3 linked regions of the Saccharomyces cerevisiae S288C genome follow. The protein of the gene in region 3 interacts with the protein of the main gene of each other region in a pairwise test. Each region holds a gene or a part of one and is shown on either strand. Other genes may lie near its edges. The genes, in order: JEN1, HXT6 and ROD1.

Region 1 (7,499 bases), on a different chromosome or scaffold from region 3:
CAAAGAACAATTCATGGACCGTTTCTACTACTTAATATCTCTATCACAACTGTCAGTCTCAATCAGTACTTAAATGACGCTGCAGAAAAAGATATCATTATTTTTATCATCCCCCTAATAAAATAAGTAATGAATCAATGCCATTAATTCGGGAACTAGTCATATACCTAAGGAATCAGGCTTTGATAGCTCTTTAATAATAATATTAGGGCATTTTTGATATGGTAAAAGATTAGATTAGGAAACCCCTTTTGTAGAGCATCTCACTACAATATCTGCAAAAACGGTCACCTTGCATAGGCAGAACACGCTACCTTTGAGTTAATTCACAGGGGAGAGCCCTTTTTTTTTCTTAGCAAAAGTGCTTAACAATCTTAATTTCTGGAATGTTTTCGGCGGATTGTTGTATATTGTTTGAATTTGTTCGTTCTAAAAAGTGAGACACCTGCACTTTCCACGCCAAGAACACTAATACCTTTAAACATGCCAGCGTACTTTAAAATGCCACGAGTCGCCCCGTACCAAACATGCTGGCGATTGTAATTTTTCGCCTTTTATTGGAATCGAGAATTCGGGCACTGTCCTTTTCTTCGTCATTTCAATGTTATAATCATTTTTATCGCCAAATTTTCTTCAATAAAAGGTCTCTTTTAAAATATGTTACTATGTTTTTTATTTTTCTATTATTTTTCTATGTGATTTTTCAGACGATTTATTCTTTGTTCGAAGGAGAACAGATGCAACGGTCAAGTTTTTACTATCCACATGAGGAGCCGTAATATTCTAAAGGCAAAAGCATGTGTGCTTGTAAAAAAAAATCAAAAAAAGTTACTGCTCCAAGCCAGCAAGCTTTCTCTTTTGCGAAATCTTTAACACGGTTAAAATCAAAGACAATTACTTCATTGACAAGGTCAATGCTAATATTTACGGTCTCCGCACGAAAGACTCTGAAAAATGTTAAAATTTATAGTGGCTAATGCTAATTCAAGAATAGTCTCGGGTTGTTTGATCACATTATTTTAATTTTTATTGAGCACTGAATAGGACCCGTATGTTCCAATCAGTCTATTTCTTGCAACTTAATCTGGTTTGTTTTTAGGGGAGTGGCATTTTTTTTAGGGTTATTCAAATATTCAATTCTGTAATTTGCTTACGACAAAAAGAAAAGGAGAGATGAAAAAAGGGCGACGGGTATAATCTATTCAGCCGCCAATGTCCCGACGTATGCCAAAATGTGGTGCCGCGGTAACAGTAGCATCACACAGAGCATGAGAAAAGCAAGAAAAGTGGAAGTCTGTATGTCACATTTTTATTGAAAATGCTATTTGCTATAAGGTTCGCTATTCAACTGATTGAACCGAGATAGACAAAATGTTAAACTTTTCATAGAGACGTTATTGTGATAGGGTTTACGCTGAGAATGGTTGAAACATACTTGCTAATAAACCACGTCACGTCAAAATATCAGTTTTTCTTTTTTAGTTATTCCCTTCTCACTTTTGACTTGAGATGAGATCGTTACACTTTTATTGAATACGAACGGATCACGATACATCCACATATACGAATGTTCGGCCAGACAGGGCATCAGAGTATATACCCTTTTTCCTAAAATGGAAGGGCCCTAGATCGTTGGCATCAGCGGTTACCTAACCGAAGTGGATCAAATCAGCGCCTATTTTTCCGTTTAGAACGATTAGATGCCGTCAATATGTATGTGCTTACTGTATCATCCACGTAGTAAAGCTGGGGCGTAGCATCCCTAGGTTACTTTCTCAATACTGGGGTCCCTGACCAAAGATAAAACATAACCTATTATGGCGTACGAGTCAAAGTTAAACGCTATTTGACTCGGGCAGCATGCATGACCCGGGGGAATGGAAAACTTCTCATGGCTACCCCAACGAAGCCAGACAAGATCTAGGAGATGTCTCCACCTTCCGAGCTACACTCTCACATCTCTTACATAGACACTGTGAAGTAAGTGATTGCACACAATCCAAAGAAGCACATCAAATAATATGTAAATATTACCCGTACAAATGGCAAATCATGTCCACTTTCCCGTTAGTCATCGGGTGGGCCGGTCCTCGCACTTTCCTTTTGTTTCGGATGTTAATTAATATATAAATGGATCTATAATTTTCAAAAGGTATAAACGCACAGTATGAAAAATATTGCAAGAATAATGTGTTTATAAATTATTTTTTTTGCTGGTAGCAAAATCAACTCATTGTCTTCCATTCAGAGTCTAATCGAACGTTATCGCAATGCTTGCACACTTTTAAACAATACGATTTAGTTTAAGTGGATGGACCCCCACGCTTAGTGTTCCACAGGTTTGTCCCCACTGTTTTTACATTCCACTGTACATTTTTGCAATAGAAGGTCATTGTATGCTACCTTGGGCGGCTAAGAATACCTGTAAAAATTTGGAGAAATTAGATTCGTAAAGAATGACTCGCAACGACTCCAATGATTTCTTCTTTTCACCCTTTGAACGGCCGATATCCGCGCGGGATCCTGACCCCGCAATTTACTCCACTAGACCGGCGTGTTTCTCTTTTTCCTTTTCCTGGGGTTAGAGCCCAAGAGCTAATAGCCGACAAACGGACTCCAAAAAAAAAAGGAGGCACAGGACAAACGCAGCACCTGCGTCATTCACGCTGAAGCGGCAGCAAGCATTTTCGATCAGCTCCAATTAAATGAAGACTATTCGCCGTACCGTTCCCAGATGGGTGCGAAAGTCAGTGATCGAGGAAGTTATTGAGCGCGCGGCTTGAAACTATTTCTCCATCTCAGAGCCGCCAAGCCTACCATTATTCTCCACCAGGAAGTTAGTTTGTAAGCTTCTGCACACCATCCGGACGTCCATAATTCTTCACTTAACGGTCTTTTGCCCCCCCTTCTACTATAATGCATTAGAACGTTACCTGGTCATTTGGATGGAGATCTAAGTAACACTTACTATCTCCTATGGTACTATCCTTTACCAAAAAAAAAAAAAAAAAAAAAAAAAAAAAAATCAGCAAAGTGAAGTACCCTCTTGATGTATAAATACATTGCACATCATTGTTGAGAAATAGTTTTGGAAGTTGTCTAGTCCTTCTCCCTTAGATCTAAAAGGAAGAAGAGTAACAGTTTCAAAAGTTTTTCCTCAAAGAGATTAAATACTGCTACTGAAAATATGTCGTCGTCAATTACAGATGAGAAAATATCTGGTGAACAGCAACAACCTGCTGGCAGAAAACTATACTATAACACAAGTACATTTGCAGAGCCTCCTCTAGTGGACGGAGAAGGTAACCCTATAAATTATGAGCCGGAAGTTTACAACCCGGATCACGAAAAGCTATACCATAACCCATCACTGCCTGCACAATCAATTCAGGATACAAGAGATGATGAATTGCTGGAAAGAGTTTATAGCCAGGATCAAGGTGTAGAGTATGAGGAAGATGAAGAGGATAAGCCAAACCTAAGCGCTGCGTCCATTAAAAGTTATGCTTTAACGAGATTTACGTCCTTACTGCACATCCACGAGTTTTCTTGGGAGAATGTCAATCCCATACCCGAACTGCGCAAAATGACATGGCAGAATTGGAACTATTTTTTTATGGGTTATTTTGCGTGGTTGTCTGCGGCTTGGGCCTTCTTTTGCGTTTCAGTATCAGTCGCTCCATTGGCTGAACTATATGACAGACCAACCAAGGACATCACCTGGGGGTTGGGATTGGTGTTATTTGTTCGTTCAGCAGGTGCTGTCATATTTGGTTTATGGACAGATAAGTCTTCCAGAAAGTGGCCGTACATTACATGTTTGTTCTTATTTGTCATTGCACAACTCTGTACTCCATGGTGTGACACATACGAGAAATTTCTGGGCGTAAGGTGGATAACCGGTATTGCTATGGGAGGAATTTACGGATGTGCTTCTGCAACAGCGATTGAAGATGCACCTGTGAAAGCACGTTCGTTCCTATCAGGTCTATTTTTTTCTGCTTACGCTATGGGGTTCATATTTGCTATCATTTTTTACAGAGCCTTTGGCTACTTTAGGGATGATGGCTGGAAAATATTGTTTTGGTTTAGTATTTTTCTACCAATTCTACTAATTTTCTGGAGATTGTTATGGCCTGAAACGAAATACTTCACCAAGGTTTTGAAAGCCCGTAAATTAATATTGAGTGACGCAGTGAAAGCTAATGGTGGCGAGCCTCTACCAAAAGCCAACTTTAAACAAAAGATGGTATCCATGAAGAGAACAGTTCAAAAGTACTGGTTGTTGTTCGCATATTTGGTTGTTTTATTGGTGGGTCCAAATTACTTGACTCATGCTTCTCAAGACTTGTTGCCAACCATGCTGCGTGCCCAATTAGGCCTATCCAAGGATGCTGTCACTGTCATTGTAGTGGTTACCAACATCGGTGCTATTTGTGGGGGTATGATATTTGGACAGTTCATGGAAGTTACTGGAAGAAGATTAGGCCTATTGATTGCATGCACAATGGGTGGTTGCTTCACCTACCCTGCATTTATGTTGAGAAGCGAAAAGGCTATATTAGGTGCCGGTTTCATGTTATATTTTTGTGTCTTTGGTGTCTGGGGTATCCTGCCCATTCACCTTGCAGAGTTGGCCCCTGCTGATGCAAGGGCTTTGGTTGCCGGTTTATCTTACCAGCTAGGTAATCTAGCTTCTGCAGCGGCTTCCACGATTGAGACACAGTTAGCTGATAGATACCCATTAGAAAGAGATGCCTCTGGTGCTGTGATTAAAGAAGATTATGCCAAAGTTATGGCTATCTTGACTGGTTCTGTTTTCATCTTCACATTTGCTTGTGTTTTTGTTGGCCATGAGAAATTCCATCGTGATTTGTCCTCTCCTGTTATGAAGAAATATATAAACCAAGTGGAAGAATACGAAGCCGATGGTCTTTCGATTAGTGACATTGTTGAACAAAAGACGGAATGTGCTTCAGTGAAGATGATTGATTCGAACGTCTCAAAGACATATGAGGAGCATATTGAGACCGTTTAATCACTTTTCATTGCTCTCTAGGGCGTGTTCGCTTCTCTATGTAACTGCATTTCACATATATTCATATTATAGCCTTTATAACATTACATAAAAGACATGATATACGACATACTTTAAAGTTAGAATTTTTGTTGTATTAATTTTCTCGAAGGGATTAGAATGTAAGTACATTTAAATAGCGCCGCAAGAAACATAACAGCCGTTAACACTAGCAAGATGGTAGATTACTGTGTCTAAGAATTTAAATTGTTTTGCTTGCTTTTGCCACTATAAGACAATAATAGTAATAGAAAAGAAATGTTAGTCGAACAGCAAATTGGTAAAAGTGGAAAAAATTATTTCGTTATTCATTTTAGGCCGTTCAGAAATATAGCATTTTGGTTCTTGCACTGAATGGGCCCTGAGGACAGTGTGCGGCTGGATAGCCATATACTTCGACATTACTTTTCACCTTTGAAGGGGGATGTATGCTTATACACAATCAAAGCTCGGCCTGTGCAGGTTTCACTACATAAGCTTTTTTACCATAGAAATCTTGCAGAAGGAAGTAAGTATCAAGATATTACGTATCGCATCCATAGAACGATAGCAGAAAAATGCAGTATATGATAACGATATGCTTCACAGCTGCGGCCCATTTGGGGAAAAAAGGAAAAGGAGCATCCTCGATCTTACAGATGTCGCTTTTTCCTCTTGAGGTCATTCCCTAACCTTGGATCCAAGTCAATCTGGTATCTTCCCACCCTAAATAGTGTATTCCCCATGTAATAAGATCGGACGATAAACTTCGAAACAATTCTAGCCTTTTTTATTAGATATTTACTCTACTTTAGATTTGGTGATTTTACTAAATGTTATCCTTCAGCCACTACAGCCTACTTTTTCTCACTAATATGTTCTTGAAGCCATTTTCTTCACCGGGCTTTGCCGAAGGTTATTTCACGATCTTCGGCATTCGCCGAAAATTTTTCAAGATGCCCATCACCAAAAAATAAAAAAAGCTTTATATATGGCATGGCATACGCATCGGGAACCGGTATTCTTCTCTTGGATTACACAGTTTGGACTACTAGACGTTTCAAATAGATATACACAATTACTCAAAAAAAAATTGAACTTCCGTACCAAACATGACAGCCAGTTTAACTACCAAGTTCTTGAACAATACCTATGAAAACCCATTTATGAATGCATCCGGTGTTCATTGCATGACTACACAAGAATTAGATGAATTAGCAAACTCTAAAGCTGGCGCATTCATTACAAAGAGTGCTACAACCTTAGAAAGAGAAGGTAACCCTGAACCACGTTACATTTCTGTCCCTCTAGGCAGTATCAACTCCATGGGTTTACCAAACGAAGGTATCGACTACTATTTGTCCTATGTATTAAACCGTCAAAAGAATTATCCTGATGCACCTGCTATTTTCTTCTCAGTTGCTGGTATGAGCATTGATGAAAATTTAAATTTGTTGAGGAAAATCCAAGATAGCGAATTCAACGGTATTACCGAGTTAAACTTGTCTTGTCCTAATGTGCCTGGGAAACCACAAGTTGCTTATGACTTTGACTTGACAAAGGAAACCTTGGAAAAGGTTTTTGCCTTTTTCAAAAAACCTCTTGGTGTCAAGTTGCCTCCTTATTTTGATTTTGCCCATTTTGATATCATGGCAAAAATATTGAACGAGTTCCCATTAGCTTATGTCAACTCTATCAATAGTATAGGAAATGGTCTTTTCATTGATGTGGAGAAGGAGAGTGTAGTAGTGAAGCCAAAGAATGGTTTCGGGGGTATTGGAGGTGAATATGTTAAGCCAACCGCGCTCGCCAATGTTCGTGCATTTTACACTCGTTTGAGACCTGAAATCAAAGTTATCGGTACAGGTGGAATTAAGTCCGGTAAGGATGCATTTGAACATCTTCTATGTGGTGCCTCTATGCTACAGATTGGTACAGAATTACAAAAAGAGGGCGTCAAGATTTTTGAACGTATCGAAAAAGAATTAAAAGACATAATGGAAGCTAAGGGTTATACATCCATAGATCAGTTCCGTGGGAAGTTGAACAGCATTTAATTATCGGAATTTGAAGAACTATGATGGGACAAGTTATGGAAGAGTGTTAAGATTCGTATGAATATTTTATTATTTTGAAATTGCATAAATCAAGGATAGTTGGTAAATGCTAATTCCTTAATTTTTCGGTGAGTGCATTCGCAATTGGCATCATACATTAGGGTTCAATGTGCTTTAATAGATGATGATACTAAATACTTATACTTTGAAATAACTTAATCAATGTAAATTATTGTCTTGATTCATTTATACTTAAATTTTTATATCTCAACATATGATATATCCTTACATTAAGACTTATTCAAGAAACATTTTTCAACGATAATTATTAGTAGGCTAAAAATGGCATAGGAACCAGAAAATAATGTTGAAGAAATGAAGCCATC
Region 2 (7,070 bases), on a different chromosome or scaffold from region 3:
GGGATACTGGTACCATTTCTGGTTTCGTCGCCCAAACTGATTTCTTGAGAAGATTCGGTATGAAGCATAAAGATGGTAGTTATTATTTGTCTAAGGTTAGAACTGGTTTAATTGTCTCCATTTTCAACATTGGTTGTGCCATTGGTGGTATTATTTTGGCTAAATTGGGTGATATGTACGGTCGTAAAATGGGTTTGATTGTCGTTGTTGTTATCTACATCATCGGTATTATTATTCAAATTGCATCCATCAACAAATGGTACCAATATTTCATCGGTAGAATTATTTCCGGTTTGGGTGTTGGTGGTATTGCCGTTTTATCTCCTATGTTGATTTCTGAAGTCGCTCCTAAGGAAATGAGAGGTACTTTAGTCTCCTGTTACCAACTGATGATTACCTTGGGTATTTTCTTGGGTTACTGTACCAACTTCGGTACTAAGAACTACTCCAACTCTGTGCAATGGAGAGTTCCATTAGGTTTGTGTTTTGCCTGGGCTTTGTTTATGATCGGTGGTATGACTTTCGTTCCAGAATCCCCACGTTATTTGGTTGAAGCTGGTCAAATTGACGAAGCAAGAGCATCTCTTTCCAAAGTTAACAAGGTTGCCCCAGACCATCCATTCATTCAACAAGAGTTGGAAGTTATTGAAGCTAGTGTTGAAGAAGCTAGAGCTGCTGGTTCAGCATCATGGGGTGAGTTGTTCACTGGTAAGCCGGCCATGTTTAAGCGTACTATGATGGGTATCATGATCCAATCTCTACAACAATTGACTGGTGATAACTATTTCTTCTACTATGGTACTACCGTTTTTAACGCTGTTGGTATGAGTGATTCTTTCGAAACTTCTATTGTTTTCGGTGTCGTCAACTTCTTCTCTACTTGTTGTTCTTTGTACACTGTCGATCGTTTTGGACGTCGTAACTGTTTGTTATATGGTGCCATTGGTATGGTCTGCTGTTATGTAGTTTACGCTTCTGTTGGTGTCACCAGACTATGGCCAAATGGTGAAGGTAATGGTTCATCCAAGGGTGCTGGTAACTGTATGATTGTCTTTGCCTGTTTCTATATTTTCTGTTTTGCTACCACTTGGGCTCCAATTGCTTATGTTGTTATTTCTGAAACTTTCCCATTGAGAGTCAAGTCTAAGGCTATGTCTATTGCTACAGCTGCTAATTGGTTGTGGGGTTTCTTGATTGGTTTCTTCACTCCATTTATTACTGGTGCTATTAACTTCTACTACGGTTACGTTTTCATGGGCTGTATGGTTTTCGCCTACTTCTACGTTTTCTTCTTTGTGCCAGAAACTAAGGGTTTGACTTTGGAAGAAGTCAATGATATGTACGCTGAAGGTGTTCTACCATGGAAGTCTGCTTCATGGGTTCCAACATCTCAAAGAGGTGCTAACTACGATGCTGATGCATTGATGCATGATGACCAGCCATTCTACAAGAAAATGTTCGGCAAGAAATAATTTCACGCTAAACCGTAGTGCTGAATAATAGTGTATTTTAAGATTCGATGTGCTAGTCAATAATGATAAATAATACACAAGATTTATGACTTTATATATATAATTCTCTGATACAGTTAATAAAAGACATTGGTACATGATATCAAACAGAATTTTAACATTTCTTGATCCAGTTTGTAAACAAAACAAACAATTTTTCTACCATTTAACTTCATACCATCGGCGAGAGCCGAACAGGAAAAAAAAGAAGTCTCCGGTTATCGTAAGCAGTATCAAATAATAAGAATGTATGTGTGTGCAATTTGTTATACCCACGAAGAAGTGCGCAGTAGAGTTAGAAAACCAACTGAGTAATCTTTACTCCCGACAATCGTCCAATAATCCTCTTGTTGCTAGGAACGTGATGATGGATTTCGTTTGAAATCCGGACGGAAAACTCAAAAGAAGTCCAACCACCAACCATTTTCGAGCCTCAAGAATCTCTAAGCAGGTTTCTTTACTAAGGGGATGGCCTTTCTGTCCTGGACATTTTTTCCTTCCTTTTTTCATTTCCTTGAAAGGAACAGATTTTTTTTGACTTTTGCCACACAGCTGCACTATCTCAACCCCTTTTACATTTTAAGTTTTCGGGTTGAATGGCATCAAATTTGGGAAAATTTAGCTTACTCAGACACCAACACATTTTTTCATGAGTATTGTTGGAAAATCTTTCCATGCTTATCAGCCGGAATACGGAACAACGGCTGCTGTGATGCCGCAAAGGGGCAAGGAAAAAATAAGCAACACACACCGAAACAGGAGGAAGAAATTCCGAACACAAGCCTAAGAAGACACCGCAGTTGTTGCAACATGTTCACATGTTCATCCCCCTGCTACTACTTGGAAATTAATGTAGGGGTAATTGGAGTGCGCCGGCCCGTGCTTTCAGAGGAACAAAGGAAGAATTGTTAAAAAAAGGCAGTGACAACGAGCACGGGTGCACCATATGGTGTGATAAGCAACCTAGGACAAAAAGAAGTGCGCAGTTCCTGTGTGCGGCGCCAAGACAAATGTTTCATATGCTTCTCCAAGGGGCTACGCTACCTAGCCTCACCACCCGATCTCTTTTTTTCCTGAACGCAGAGGGGACCGTACGAAAAAAAATGTTTTTTAGGCAACGGAGATTCGTTTTATCCACGTTTACCCCACAAAAAGTGCAGGTACATTGTGGGGCCCCGGCATCGAAAACCAGTTTTTTTCCTTTAAACGCTGGAAAAAAAGGAGAAATTATTGGAACTTTGCAGAGAATAGTCCGTAGGCAAATTGAAAATGTTCCTTAAAAAATTTCGTTTCTTACTCATTGAGATTATTCAGATGCCCTCCGTGCCTTCATTGAAAAAAATCCAAGAGATGTCTCGGATCTGTATGCAGATTTTGGCTTGCAGACAATGGAGAGCAAATGGGTATACAATATAGAAAGCACAGAAACATATAAAAAGAGCTCGAGAAAAGACATATGGTTTGTAACTATCTTCTTCTTTTTTCCAATTTTTCTGTTTTAATAATAAAAAAACAAGAACAAACAAGCTCAACTTGTCTTTTCTAAGAACAAAGAATAAACACAAAAACAAAAAGTTTTTTTAATTTTAATCAAAAAATGTCACAAGACGCTGCTATTGCAGAGCAAACTCCTGTGGAGCATCTCTCTGCTGTTGACTCAGCCTCCCACTCGGTTTTATCTACACCATCAAACAAGGCTGAAAGAGATGAAATAAAAGCTTATGGTGAAGGTGAAGAGCACGAACCTGTCGTTGAAATTCCAAAGAGACCAGCTTCTGCCTATGTCACTGTCTCTATTATGTGTATCATGATCGCCTTTGGTGGTTTCGTTTTCGGTTGGGATACTGGTACCATTTCTGGTTTCATCAATCAAACCGATTTCATCAGAAGATTTGGTATGAAGCATAAAGATGGTACTAATTATTTGTCTAAGGTTAGAACTGGTTTGATTGTCTCCATTTTCAACATTGGTTGTGCCATTGGTGGTATTATTCTTTCCAAATTGGGTGATATGTACGGTCGTAAGGTGGGTTTGATTGTCGTTGTTGTCATCTACATCATCGGTATTATTATTCAAATTGCATCTATCAACAAATGGTACCAATATTTCATCGGTAGAATTATTTCCGGTTTGGGTGTTGGTGGTATTGCCGTTTTATCTCCTATGTTGATTTCTGAAGTATCCCCAAAGCATTTAAGGGGTACTTTAGTCTCTTGCTACCAATTGATGATTACTGCCGGTATTTTCTTGGGTTACTGTACCAACTTCGGTACTAAGAACTACTCCAACTCTGTGCAATGGAGAGTTCCATTAGGTTTGTGTTTTGCCTGGGCTTTGTTTATGATTGGTGGTATGACATTTGTTCCAGAGTCTCCACGTTATTTGGCTGAAGTCGGTAAGATCGAAGAAGCCAAACGTTCTATTGCCGTTTCTAACAAGGTTGCTGTTGATGATCCATCTGTTTTGGCTGAAGTCGAAGCTGTCTTGGCTGGTGTAGAGGCAGAGAAATTAGCTGGTAATGCATCCTGGGGTGAATTGTTTAGTAGCAAGACAAAGGTCCTTCAGCGTTTGATCATGGGTGCTATGATTCAATCTCTACAACAATTGACAGGTGATAACTATTTCTTCTACTATGGTACTACTATTTTCAAGGCTGTTGGTTTGAGTGACTCTTTCGAAACCTCTATTGTCTTGGGTATTGTTAACTTTGCTTCCACCTTTGTTGGTATTTACGTTGTTGAGAGATATGGTCGTCGTACTTGTTTGCTATGGGGTGCTGCATCCATGACTGCTTGTATGGTTGTCTATGCTTCCGTGGGTGTCACCAGATTATGGCCAAATGGTCAAGACCAACCATCTTCCAAGGGTGCTGGTAACTGTATGATTGTCTTTGCCTGTTTCTATATTTTCTGTTTTGCTACTACATGGGCTCCAATTCCTTATGTCGTTGTTTCTGAAACTTTCCCATTGAGAGTCAAGTCTAAGGCTATGTCTATTGCTACAGCTGCTAATTGGTTGTGGGGTTTCTTGATTGGTTTCTTCACTCCATTTATTACTGGTGCTATTAACTTCTACTACGGTTACGTTTTCATGGGCTGTTTGGTCTTCATGTTCTTCTATGTTTTGTTAGTTGTTCCAGAAACTAAGGGTTTGACTTTGGAAGAAGTCAACACCATGTGGGAAGAAGGTGTTCTACCATGGAAGTCTGCCTCATGGGTTCCACCATCTAGAAGAGGTGCCAACTACGACGCTGAAGAAATGGCTCACGATGATAAGCCATTGTACAAGAGAATGTTCAGCACCAAATAATTTGCGAACATTTTTATTAATTCATGATCACGCTCTAATTTGTGCATTTGAAATGCACTCTAATTCTGATTTTATATTTTTAATGAACCCTTACGATTTATATTGTATGGCAAGATGTTGCCAATAGAAGTATAATTTTTTATTAATTTTTTTTCTTTTCTAAGCTTTGAAGAAAAGTTAACAGCTTTACCCTTCAAAGTTATTGTTTTGTAGCGCTAGAAGCGAAGTAGGCGCTCTTTCTCGCATAAGCTACCTTAGGAGGAAAAAAAAAGTCTTCTATTATAAACAAAGTACTCTATAATTCATCAAAAAAATTAATTATGAGCCGGAGCTTTTCACAATCAGTGTACATATGCAGGGCTCACCTCGGTACTGCGCTTTTCTACCTGAAATTAAATAGAGTCACCTCATTACAATGAAGCTACTAAACTCCTCAATGTTAAACTGGCATTGCGACAGAGTAGAGAAGGCTTGTCAATAAACCTGAATTTTTGGTAATAAAAAGAAAATGGGGATCATATTAGGCCTTTATGATCATCCTTGGCAAACTACATCCCATATATGTTTGAAAAAGGGTTAATGATATGAAAATGTTTTTATTTAATAAGAAATGATGTACTACTGGCGGCGATTGGTAAAGAGGATCTAAGTTTTCTTTCCTGGCAGATGATAAACAGTTAGCATTCCCCAAAAAAAATAATTTCACCTTGTTAAAAAGGTAATTTGCGAGAAAACATGAACAGTCTGCCCCTTAATGAACAGTTTTTGGCCAAAGTCCTATTCGAATATATTTTAGTGGAAGAAAATCTTGTAGGCTGTAAACTTATTGATAGGCCCATTTGGTACTATTATATGTTATTTCAGCAACAATTTATGGAAAGGTTGCCGTAAGTAACCTTTAGATGGCAGGAAGGAAAAAAATCATGCTTTAAGAGTGGCTTCAGTAGCTAAAAAGGTAGTATACATCGCACAGTGAATATTCGCCCCAATGGACGGAAAAGTTCATGCAAGATTAAACGCAGTACCAGAAAGCCGCGTTTGTATGGTTTTATTGGCGTCCATACAAATAACTTATTAGCGGGGTGACAATTCAGAGACAATTCTAATGTCGAAAAGTGTACCATCACTAAAGTATTCCAGGGACTTCTGCCCACCACGTAGAAACGCGTTGTTGAATTATTTGACACAGTAATTTACCTAACTGGTCAAATGATTCTGTCTACTTCATTGGCTATTTTTCGATTTCTTTAACCTGCGACAGGAATTCAACAATGTTTAAACAAAAAATTCTGACAGCTAACTAGTAATTTTTGACATAAAATAATGATTATCTTCACCATGATAGAAATGCAGGACACGTAGTAAAAAGAAGAGATTTTTCCTTCTAGTACCGCGTGCTCAATACCACACTTTTGCAAAAATGCATCGATATATTAGGTAAACTCAAACAACGAAAGGAGGAATAGGCATTCGATATTGCTATTTTCAAATTGTATGCTGACGTCAACTTTTTATTAAGGATATGATAAAATCAACAAATGCCAACTTCTTCAACTTTTAGAAAGTACGAAATGCTAATAATCTTTTGTTCGTATGCTCCCTGAGTTACAATTCTAAGATCATTTTTGTGTTCGGTCACCAGCAACACTATATAACGAAATAACAGTTGCCATATTCGTTTTCTGTCTTGTTGAAGCTCAGATTGCTCAAGAAATAAAATAATTACTACATGAGACAAAAAATCTCATGGGAGCAAAATTTTCAACGCATGTTCAGACCATTTTTTTTTGCCGATGAGTGAGTAATCGCCAATGGGTCTTAATCAATTACAGATCTTAAACAGTCGTTTGGTTTTCGATGCTCAAGGGATCGGACCAGCAATAATCGGAAGAAGAGATCAAACAATCGGTCATTAGTCTCAAAGAACATGCAAGCTAACACAATGTTAGTGAGGAAGAGATAAAAGTGTGGGGTGATGGTTGTTCCTTATGTTTATTACAGGAGAACGTTAAGTGAACTCTGAGAACTAACTGCAGCAGCTTGATTCTCCGCCTGTTTACTTGGAAAAGAAATGGGAACAAAAAAGGTACTGCATTTTTTTCCGGTTCTTTTCTCCACCTAGGATGAGGAGTAATTTGCCTTAATGGGGGATTAAATCCGGGGCTTTCCAAAGCGGGACCCATTTAATTCCACCTTCGGATTTTTTTGCATAAACTCTCAATTTCCCCGCGATCCATCTGCCGAATGGT
Region 3 (7,805 bases):
TCGTGCTTTAAAGTAGCAAGAACTAAGAAATCTGGAGTATGGACATTAATGACATCTACCAGACTTTTTTTAATTTTGCCTACAATTATTTCTAAAGTAATTTTGACGGATATTTTGACCACTTTTACTAGCTGTAAAATATAATCAAAAATGTCGTTTAATTTTTGATCTATTACTTCTTTTTGATATCCCGGTGCCCATTCTGTATCATCTTTTGCAGTTTTTTTCCTGTTAGAAATCATTTTTGGCAGTGTAGTTATGACAACAATGTGATCAAGATTTCGTGCAAACTTGTAGACTGTCCAGTCTAGGGCAACCCACGTATGTTTTTTTCCGTTAATGTGACAAACTATTGTCTTAGGGTTATTGGGATATCCGACCTTTTGTTGAAGTATTTTATGCTTTCTTTTTTGTTCTTTTGTACATGGTGCACTATCATCTCCTCTATATAACGGTTTAATACGCTCTTCAGAGAAGATAAGTTCTGGGTAAGTAAACCATTTTTTTTTGTCATTCAGCCTTTCATTTATTTGTAGTTTTCTTTGGCGCCATAACTTTATCCAGTTCTTTTCAAACCTGTTTATCATCAACGTTTCGTTGACAATTACTGGCGTGCTTGGATAGTCTCTCCTCACTATTTTTCCATTCTTGGATACCAAGAAATATTTTTTGATGTCAGAATTCTTTTCCAACAACTTTGAGGATCTCATTGGAAAACTACTGGATTCAGATTTGTTCTCTTTTCTAGTATTCAGAAAAGGTGATGATTGGAATGTATCTCTCAAATAATATTGCAAATTTGGCGAAAAAGAGTCTGTTTCATCGTCATAGCACTCTTCCATCGTGTAATAGTTGGGAACAGGTACACCTTTGAATCCTTCCCTGCTGTCGTCTATAGAAGAATAACCAGCGGTGGAAGGCACTGTGTCAAAGGCAACAGATGGTTGGAAACTGCCTTTCTTTTTGGCCCGTTTTTTAAGGTTTTGTTCATTTCTCTCTTCGAATTGTTGTCCTGGAACATCGAATGTGAGGCTTCTGTAGCATTTTTGCAAGTCATTTTGTGGGCAAACAGAAATCATAATAATTTAAGGTTGACTTGCCAAAAGGGTGCGTGATCTATAGCAAGTTGAATATTAAAAGCCTTTTTAATGAGGAGTCCTTATTTTAATACGTGTTGGATTCGATGTCCTTTCTTTCTGGTCCTATGCATTAGTGTGGATGGTAACGAGACATGAACCCAGAAGGATATATATGTATCTATCTGCAAATCATATTGCTACTAATAATGGTAGATTGCCATTCACAAAAAAGCCGCCCCTCATAAAACTCAGCCGCGCAAGCTTTGAAAAGGGGCGAGCGGCTGAAACAGAACGGTCTTCTAGAAGGCTGATTCAGCAGTAATTAAGACAAAAGCAGTACTACCAGCAAGAACATAGGAGGTGATTGAGTTATTAATTGAGGTACATCTGAATTGCAAGAACTCTAAATATTTTCTTTTGCGATGAAAAACTGATGCTTGTGTGATTAACATATAACGTAATTCATTGAGAGAAAAGAGCAGCTGTGCTCGAGATCAATGAGTTGACTATAAAAATAGCAATTTCCGTAGGATCGCAAAGTTGGCTAACCGTATAAAATGGGAGGATATATACGAATGATGTCTGTGGGATCTTTAACATTTAATTAGAAAATTTTGTAGTGCCAATAATTGTTGAGGAAGAAGTGCCAAGTAAAGAAAAACAGATCTTCTGAAGCTCATTGTATTCTCATTATATTCTCTCAAAAATACGTTCGTATAACTGATTAATCCTGTTTTTCTAATCACTATTTTAATGTTTCAATTGAGGGATTTTGCCTTCATACAATTGTTGAGAGAAATTTTCCAACAAGTATGGGAAATATGAGCAATTCTTATCTTTTAAAAACAAGAACTGGTCCGATATTATTCACCTCAAACATATTGGACGAGATCATTTTTAAAACGTTAGGGGTGGGGAGGATATCAATAAGTTTTCATAATTATGTTAACCTTCAAGCCATAAAACCGAGTAAGACCACTTAACAAAATCTATGAGAAGCCTTGCGGCAGAATCTGACAACTTCAGTGAAATTTTTTTGTGATTATAGAAGCATAAACTACAACGCCGAATTGTTTTACTTTATAGCAATTATGAGGTAGTATTATAACATTATATTATCATTTTTCAAGTGGTATGAGGTATGAAAGTACTCTATCAAAGTATATATGCTTAACTGTACAAACGTGTATGAAGTATTGCTCATATCTTTTTGTCGAAATTTCGAAGACAAAAAATAAAGCAGTCTATGAGCGATCCCGTTTTGTGAACATCTCCATTAAATTAGCAAATGAACCTGTTCCTTGTCTTAATGGTGAGTTGCTATTGTTGCTCCGAACTGACGATGAGCGTGACCTTCGATTGTGGGTTGCGCTCGTATAGTTTTCCTCTTCTCTTGGCTTATTAGCGTCAGATGTAGAATCAGTTTTATCAAAATGTGAATTGTTCTTGGAACTTGAATTACTAGTGAAAGATGTTGTCATATTAAACGGAAAATGTCTGCTTCCTGTGCTGCTTTTTGCTGAAGTGAAAGAGAGATTTAGATTAAATGAACTATCTGTGTTGTTTCTCGCCAACTGCTGCAATGATACTGAGGATCCGCTATTATTCCTTGGTAATGGAGAGTGGGATAAATGTGTCCTACTAGACGATCTTTTCAGATTATTGGAACTCTTGCTCGAGCCTGGAAGTGGCAACAAAGAGGATGTAGACTTGTGATGAAGAATTTGTGGCCTTTCTAGTTCAATTTTTTTATTTTCTTGAACTCCAAGTTCTTCCTCGGGATAAGCCGGTGGAAGATCCTCACCAATCATATCAGATTTCATTGCTTTATCATACGAGGGAACTCTGCTTAAATCTGTCAGTTCCAAATCGTTCTTCAGCGATGTAGAAGATGTTTGGCGACTATATGAGTTACGCCTAGATAAATGTGCAAAGCTTGGTGTCAGTGAAGGACTATTCAATCCAGCATTAATGATGTTATTATATCTATTTGCAGAAGGAGAGTTATTGTTCCAATTTTCACTAATTGTTAGATTACTATTAACCAGATTCAGGTTACTATTGTTAACGCTGTCCCCTCGAGAGTCACAATTATTTAGGCTATCATCTTCAATCTTGATTTGAGGATTTGGTGCCAAAATAGGATTATTGCTATTGTTACTATCCGATATATATAGGTTTTGAATATTGTGAATTGCCTGTGATTCGACGGCACTTGAAGAAGCTGATGCTGAAGTTTCGTCTTCATTAGTTACCTCGCCATACACTCGATCGTAAACGTGATTGCCGTAGTTGGGAGGTACCATCAAACTAGTTACCATAGTTGTGTCAGCGACTGCGGTAGCCTCTGCATCAGTACTATTGATATTTAAAGTAGAGCCAGATACTATGGTTGGCATTGAAGACAATTGTAACGCAGAAGCAGATCTTTGAAAAATCACATCTTCTTCACTATCGTCTACAAAGTTTTTGCTGCTGAATGAATTATCGTGCTGACTTGTTACTTGATATGAGGGTCCAAACGTTTTGAGCGTTCTTTCAATAACATCGGAGGTCTTTACATTGACTGGAACAAACGGTGAAATGAATAATTGGACAGGCAGTGCCGCACGCAATTCTGAAATATGACCGTCCGGATTGAGTAAACTTATAGTGAACTTGATCTTATGACGGACTTTGATATTAGATAAAATGCGACAGTCTTGGGAGCATTTAGTCAGGCTTGCAGGTATGTTTAATAAAGCTCGAACTTCCCATTTATCTTGAAATTCCCCTGTGTCCGTATCAACCCCTTCGTCGGCAGCTTCATTTAGGCTCCTCTTCTTCTTTATTTGGGCAACGTGCTTCAGGGGATCTTTTAGTTTTAATTTAGCCACCATTCTTTCTTGGTTGATAACCCCTCCATAGCTACCACAATACTGGGAATTTTCCACCAAACTGATCCTAACAGGGCCTAACTTCAATCCTTTTAATATAGGAACAATTAAAATATTGATCATGGTGGAAGAGCCAATGGCAATTGCCTTAGTTGGAATGGAGATCGTATAATCGACTTTTTCAGGCCATGAGTTATCCACTGATACTGTTTCAGATAACTCGACTGCATCTATAGCTAACGTTCGAATAACTCTTAGATGTTTTTTACAGATCAAGTCGGGCTGCTTAGGTCTCTCGATAGTAGCTTCCAGAGCATAAGTGACGGCAGCATTTGGTAGGCCTTCTACACTTTCCACTAATGACCCAGGAATAATCGCGCTGAAAGGGAATTCGTAGTTACCTTTTACTAAGGTGTGATAGTTTTTGCTTGCGCTTGTCTGCCCATTACTTGATATCAATGATGCAGTAGAAAGGGCTCTTTTTCTCTTTGGCAATGCTGCTAAATTTGTTGAGGATTTACTAGAAATTGTTATTTTACCATTATTATGATTATCGTACAAGTTTTGGAAATAACTTTTTATATTAAAATCATCCCAAAAATGAGAATATATGTTTCTCTCAAACTTTGAGTATCGCTTATGCGGCCCATGAACAGTTTGTAAAACCGTTGGAATATTTAGTCTCAACCTACCAAAAAGTCTCAAAGCCAAAGACTTGATTTGAATTGGCTCAGTAATTGACAATACTATAGTTCCAGATAGTAGGACAGAAGATGCCTCATCAGGGGGGCCTTTTATCAGTAAAACATCATTGTCCAAATTTCTAAGTCTGATGTCAAATAGTAATGGCTCTTTTGAAGGTCGAGATGATGATGAAAACATTATTACTTATGGAGGAAGAGAAGCGAATGGTGTGATGAAATCGCGTTGATTTCTGTATGGTTGTTAATTAGTTTTAGATCTGCATCTTTTTGACGTCTATATTTGAATAGGGGACCCCTGTTCTGTTTTTTTCGCTTAATAAAAAAACGCTGAAAATTGCAAGAGCCCAGCCATACAAAATAATTTATAAAAACTGTGAACAGGAAGCTTCTCAGTTTTTATCGGAGAACCCATCTCTGGGGTTAGACATTCATCCGCATTAAAACTCCTATTTTTACTCGTAGTTTTCGGTCTTCAAAATAAAGCAGATTCCTTAAAGTTAGATGCTTTTATTCAACTTAATCAGTAATGTAACATAATATGTACCAAGGGACTCGACTCTTTTTGACCCATTGTTTAATTAATATGTGTTATAATTACAAGAATAATGCATTGTATGGACATATCTAAAAATACATAGAATAATTACATAAGGTCGAAAGTTGTGAGTGAATACATTAAAGTAGTAAAACTTCACCTATAACATTAGATTGCCCAACGCTGACTACTGTCTTCTAGATATGGAACTTGTTACTCCTTTCTAATAGTTTTCTTCGAAGGGCACCTTTTTTAGCATATGCGCGCAGTTTAGTTTGCAGTCGGGTAGGGCCAAAATTAGAATATCTTTTGTTACTTCCATTATCGCGGTGATCATTGCGGGCTTGTAGTGATTTGATTCGATTCATAATTTCATCCTTTTTAGACATATCAGGTTCCTGACGTGTGATTACTTGATTTTTCAATGCGTTTAATTTAACATCCAAATATTTAAAGTATAGTTTTCGTAAAATTTGTTTGTCATTGATATCTGTAAAAGTAGAGTTCACCTCCCAAGTGGAAACATCGGAAGCGTGGAAAAAGTTTGGAGTCTGTGTAGATGGTATATCTTTGTACCAGTCTCGTTTCATCATGTCAGAAATATATTTACGGGATTCGGTGTCGAGAATATCGTTCTTTTTTAAAGCAAAATCAGGTAGATGTGTAGTATTAGGATGATGGTGATAGAAATGCTTGACATTTACTTTAAATCCAACTAAGGAATTCAGGTGTTCCTCCAAAAGATTTTCGTTATATGAGCGGAGGTTTAGTAGCTCCTCTGTTAATTGTTCGTTCGAAGTATCCTTTACCAATAAAGATTTATCCTCGTACTCAGGTGACAACGGCAGGGCTACAATATTTAGCACCGGTTCGTTAAAGAAGCGGCCACTTTTGGATCGTTTTTCTTCAACTTCGGTTTTAAGCATTATTTTGCATTTTTCCCATTTCGTATTACTTGAGTTAAGTAACTGCTCAACGTGTTTCAAAATATTACTGAACAGATTCATAGACATCTTAAATTCCCTATTAGCCACCAAGCAAGCAATTTTCCTATCGTCCCTGTCATAGTGTAGAATGTAGTCCTCCTCACCATATATCCCTTTTGTGATATCATTCTTCTCCTTTAACAAACTGTCGAATTTGCTGTTATACGAAGAATGGATTATATAATCTAATTCGTCCAAAGGTAGATATTGGAATCCAAACATCTTAGAAATATTGTGGTATGCAACGAAAATACCGTCCATTTTGCCAATTCTAGCTTGCAAAGAATACTTTAGAAGGGCAGACCTGATTAGTTCAAAATATTCTCTTTCCAAAGACTCAAATTCCCCATAAACTTTATCTATCTCATATCCAGTTTGGTTGTTATTACTCTCTACATGTGATAAATCGTATCTTATGGCAGAAACTGCTCTTGTCTTCAGATCAAATACACCCGTTCCAGGTAGATTTGGGTCGTACGCGTCCAATTGAGATCTCACAATGAATTCATCTATACTAGAATAGTGATAATTTTCACTTTTTGAACTATTCTTCAGGGACTTTTCCGTTAAAAAGTCTTCAAGATAATGACCTAGTACAGAAAGCACAATCTCCCTATCCAGACTTCTATCTGAATCAATAGAACAAATGCCATTTCTCTTCTTTCTCAGAATGACTGCTGACGGAAAATATGCACTTTCTGAATAATTGCAGTTTTTTTGAGGAAAATTTTTCGATATCGAGGAATCAATGATATTCAATCTTCTGAAATTGGATAATAAATAGTGCAACTGAGAAAGTACTGATGTCATGGAACTTGATGAAGATATGTACTTTTTTCTATGTTCTTTGGCAACCTTTAACAGAGATTCATCTTTGTGGGGTGTGATGAATATTGGCTTGCTTTGTCCTTCTCCAGAGGAGTCTGTGTTCACATCTTTTTCACTTTTCTTTTCCAAATACTCTGGATTAATATTTTCCACTGCAGGGTCAAAATTATACATTCTGCTCCTATTATCTCTCAATTTTTGTAGCGACAACGGTTGGTATAACACTCTCGTTAATCCATGACCAATCCTAGGAGGCTTTTGGTTGTGTTTTTGAACACCATCTTGATTGTAACGTACTAATGCGTGCCTAATCTTCTGGACATTTATCCGAAAAGTGTATGAATTGCTATCTGAATATGTTCTGCTAGCGGGATATGTTCTCCTAGCGGGATATGTTCTCCTACCAGGATATGTTCTTCTACCAGGATACGTTCCTACCTTTGTCCGCTCCAAATACTTATCATGTCTATACTCCTTCTTTATATTTGTTTTCAGTAGATTAATCGCCTTGTCCATTTCTTCCGTATATTTTTGTCGACCTCCCTTTTCCTTGTTTCCAATGTCCTCTACAGTCGAATTTGTGTCATATATTTCATCGACCATCTCTAAAGCACTATGCAGGTCAGAACGTAGCTTGTCTGGTGTTTCTCTTCCACTAGGGGCATTTGTGAGAGCAGCGCCAAAGTGATAAATCGATCGCTGTTGATAGCTTTTAGCGGCGCTACCTATTCTGCAAGGCTCAACAGATAGACGTCTGGACAGGAATCTACAGTTGTAGAACCCCATTATCAAAACTA

What was found.
Region 1: the proteins of ROD1 (region 3) and JEN1 interact in a protein complementation assay, tested with the Saccharomyces cerevisiae proteins (one study listed by BioGRID).
Region 2: the proteins of ROD1 (region 3) and HXT6 interact in a protein complementation assay, tested with the Saccharomyces cerevisiae proteins (one study listed by BioGRID).

Annotation. Positions count from the first base shown.
Region 1 is NC_001143.9:19,047-26,545, forward strand, and holds JEN1 (monocarboxylate/H+ symporter), read left to right. Parts: upstream 1-3,187; coding exon 3,188-5,038; downstream 5,039-7,499. Other genes in the region: URA1 (dihydroorotate dehydrogenase), read left to right, coding at 6,169-7,113. UniProt on the Saccharomyces cerevisiae protein: Essential to lactate transport.
Region 2 is NC_001136.10:1,157,359-1,164,428, reverse strand, and holds HXT6 (hexose transporter HXT6), read left to right. Parts: upstream 1-3,108; coding exon 3,109-4,821; downstream 4,822-7,070. Other genes in the region: hexose transporter HXT3, read left to right, coding at 1-1,472; YDR344C (uncharacterized protein), read left to right, coding at 1,980-2,423. UniProt on the Saccharomyces cerevisiae protein: High-affinity glucose transporter.
Region 3 is NC_001147.6:361,401-369,205, reverse strand, and holds ROD1 (Rod1p), read right to left. Parts: upstream 4,838-7,805; coding exon 2,324-4,837; downstream 1-2,323. Other genes in the region: YOR019W (uncharacterized protein), read right to left, coding at 1-1,079; PET127 (Pet127p), read right to left, coding at 5,392-7,794. UniProt on the Saccharomyces cerevisiae protein: Mediates resistance to o-dinitrobenzene, calcium and zinc.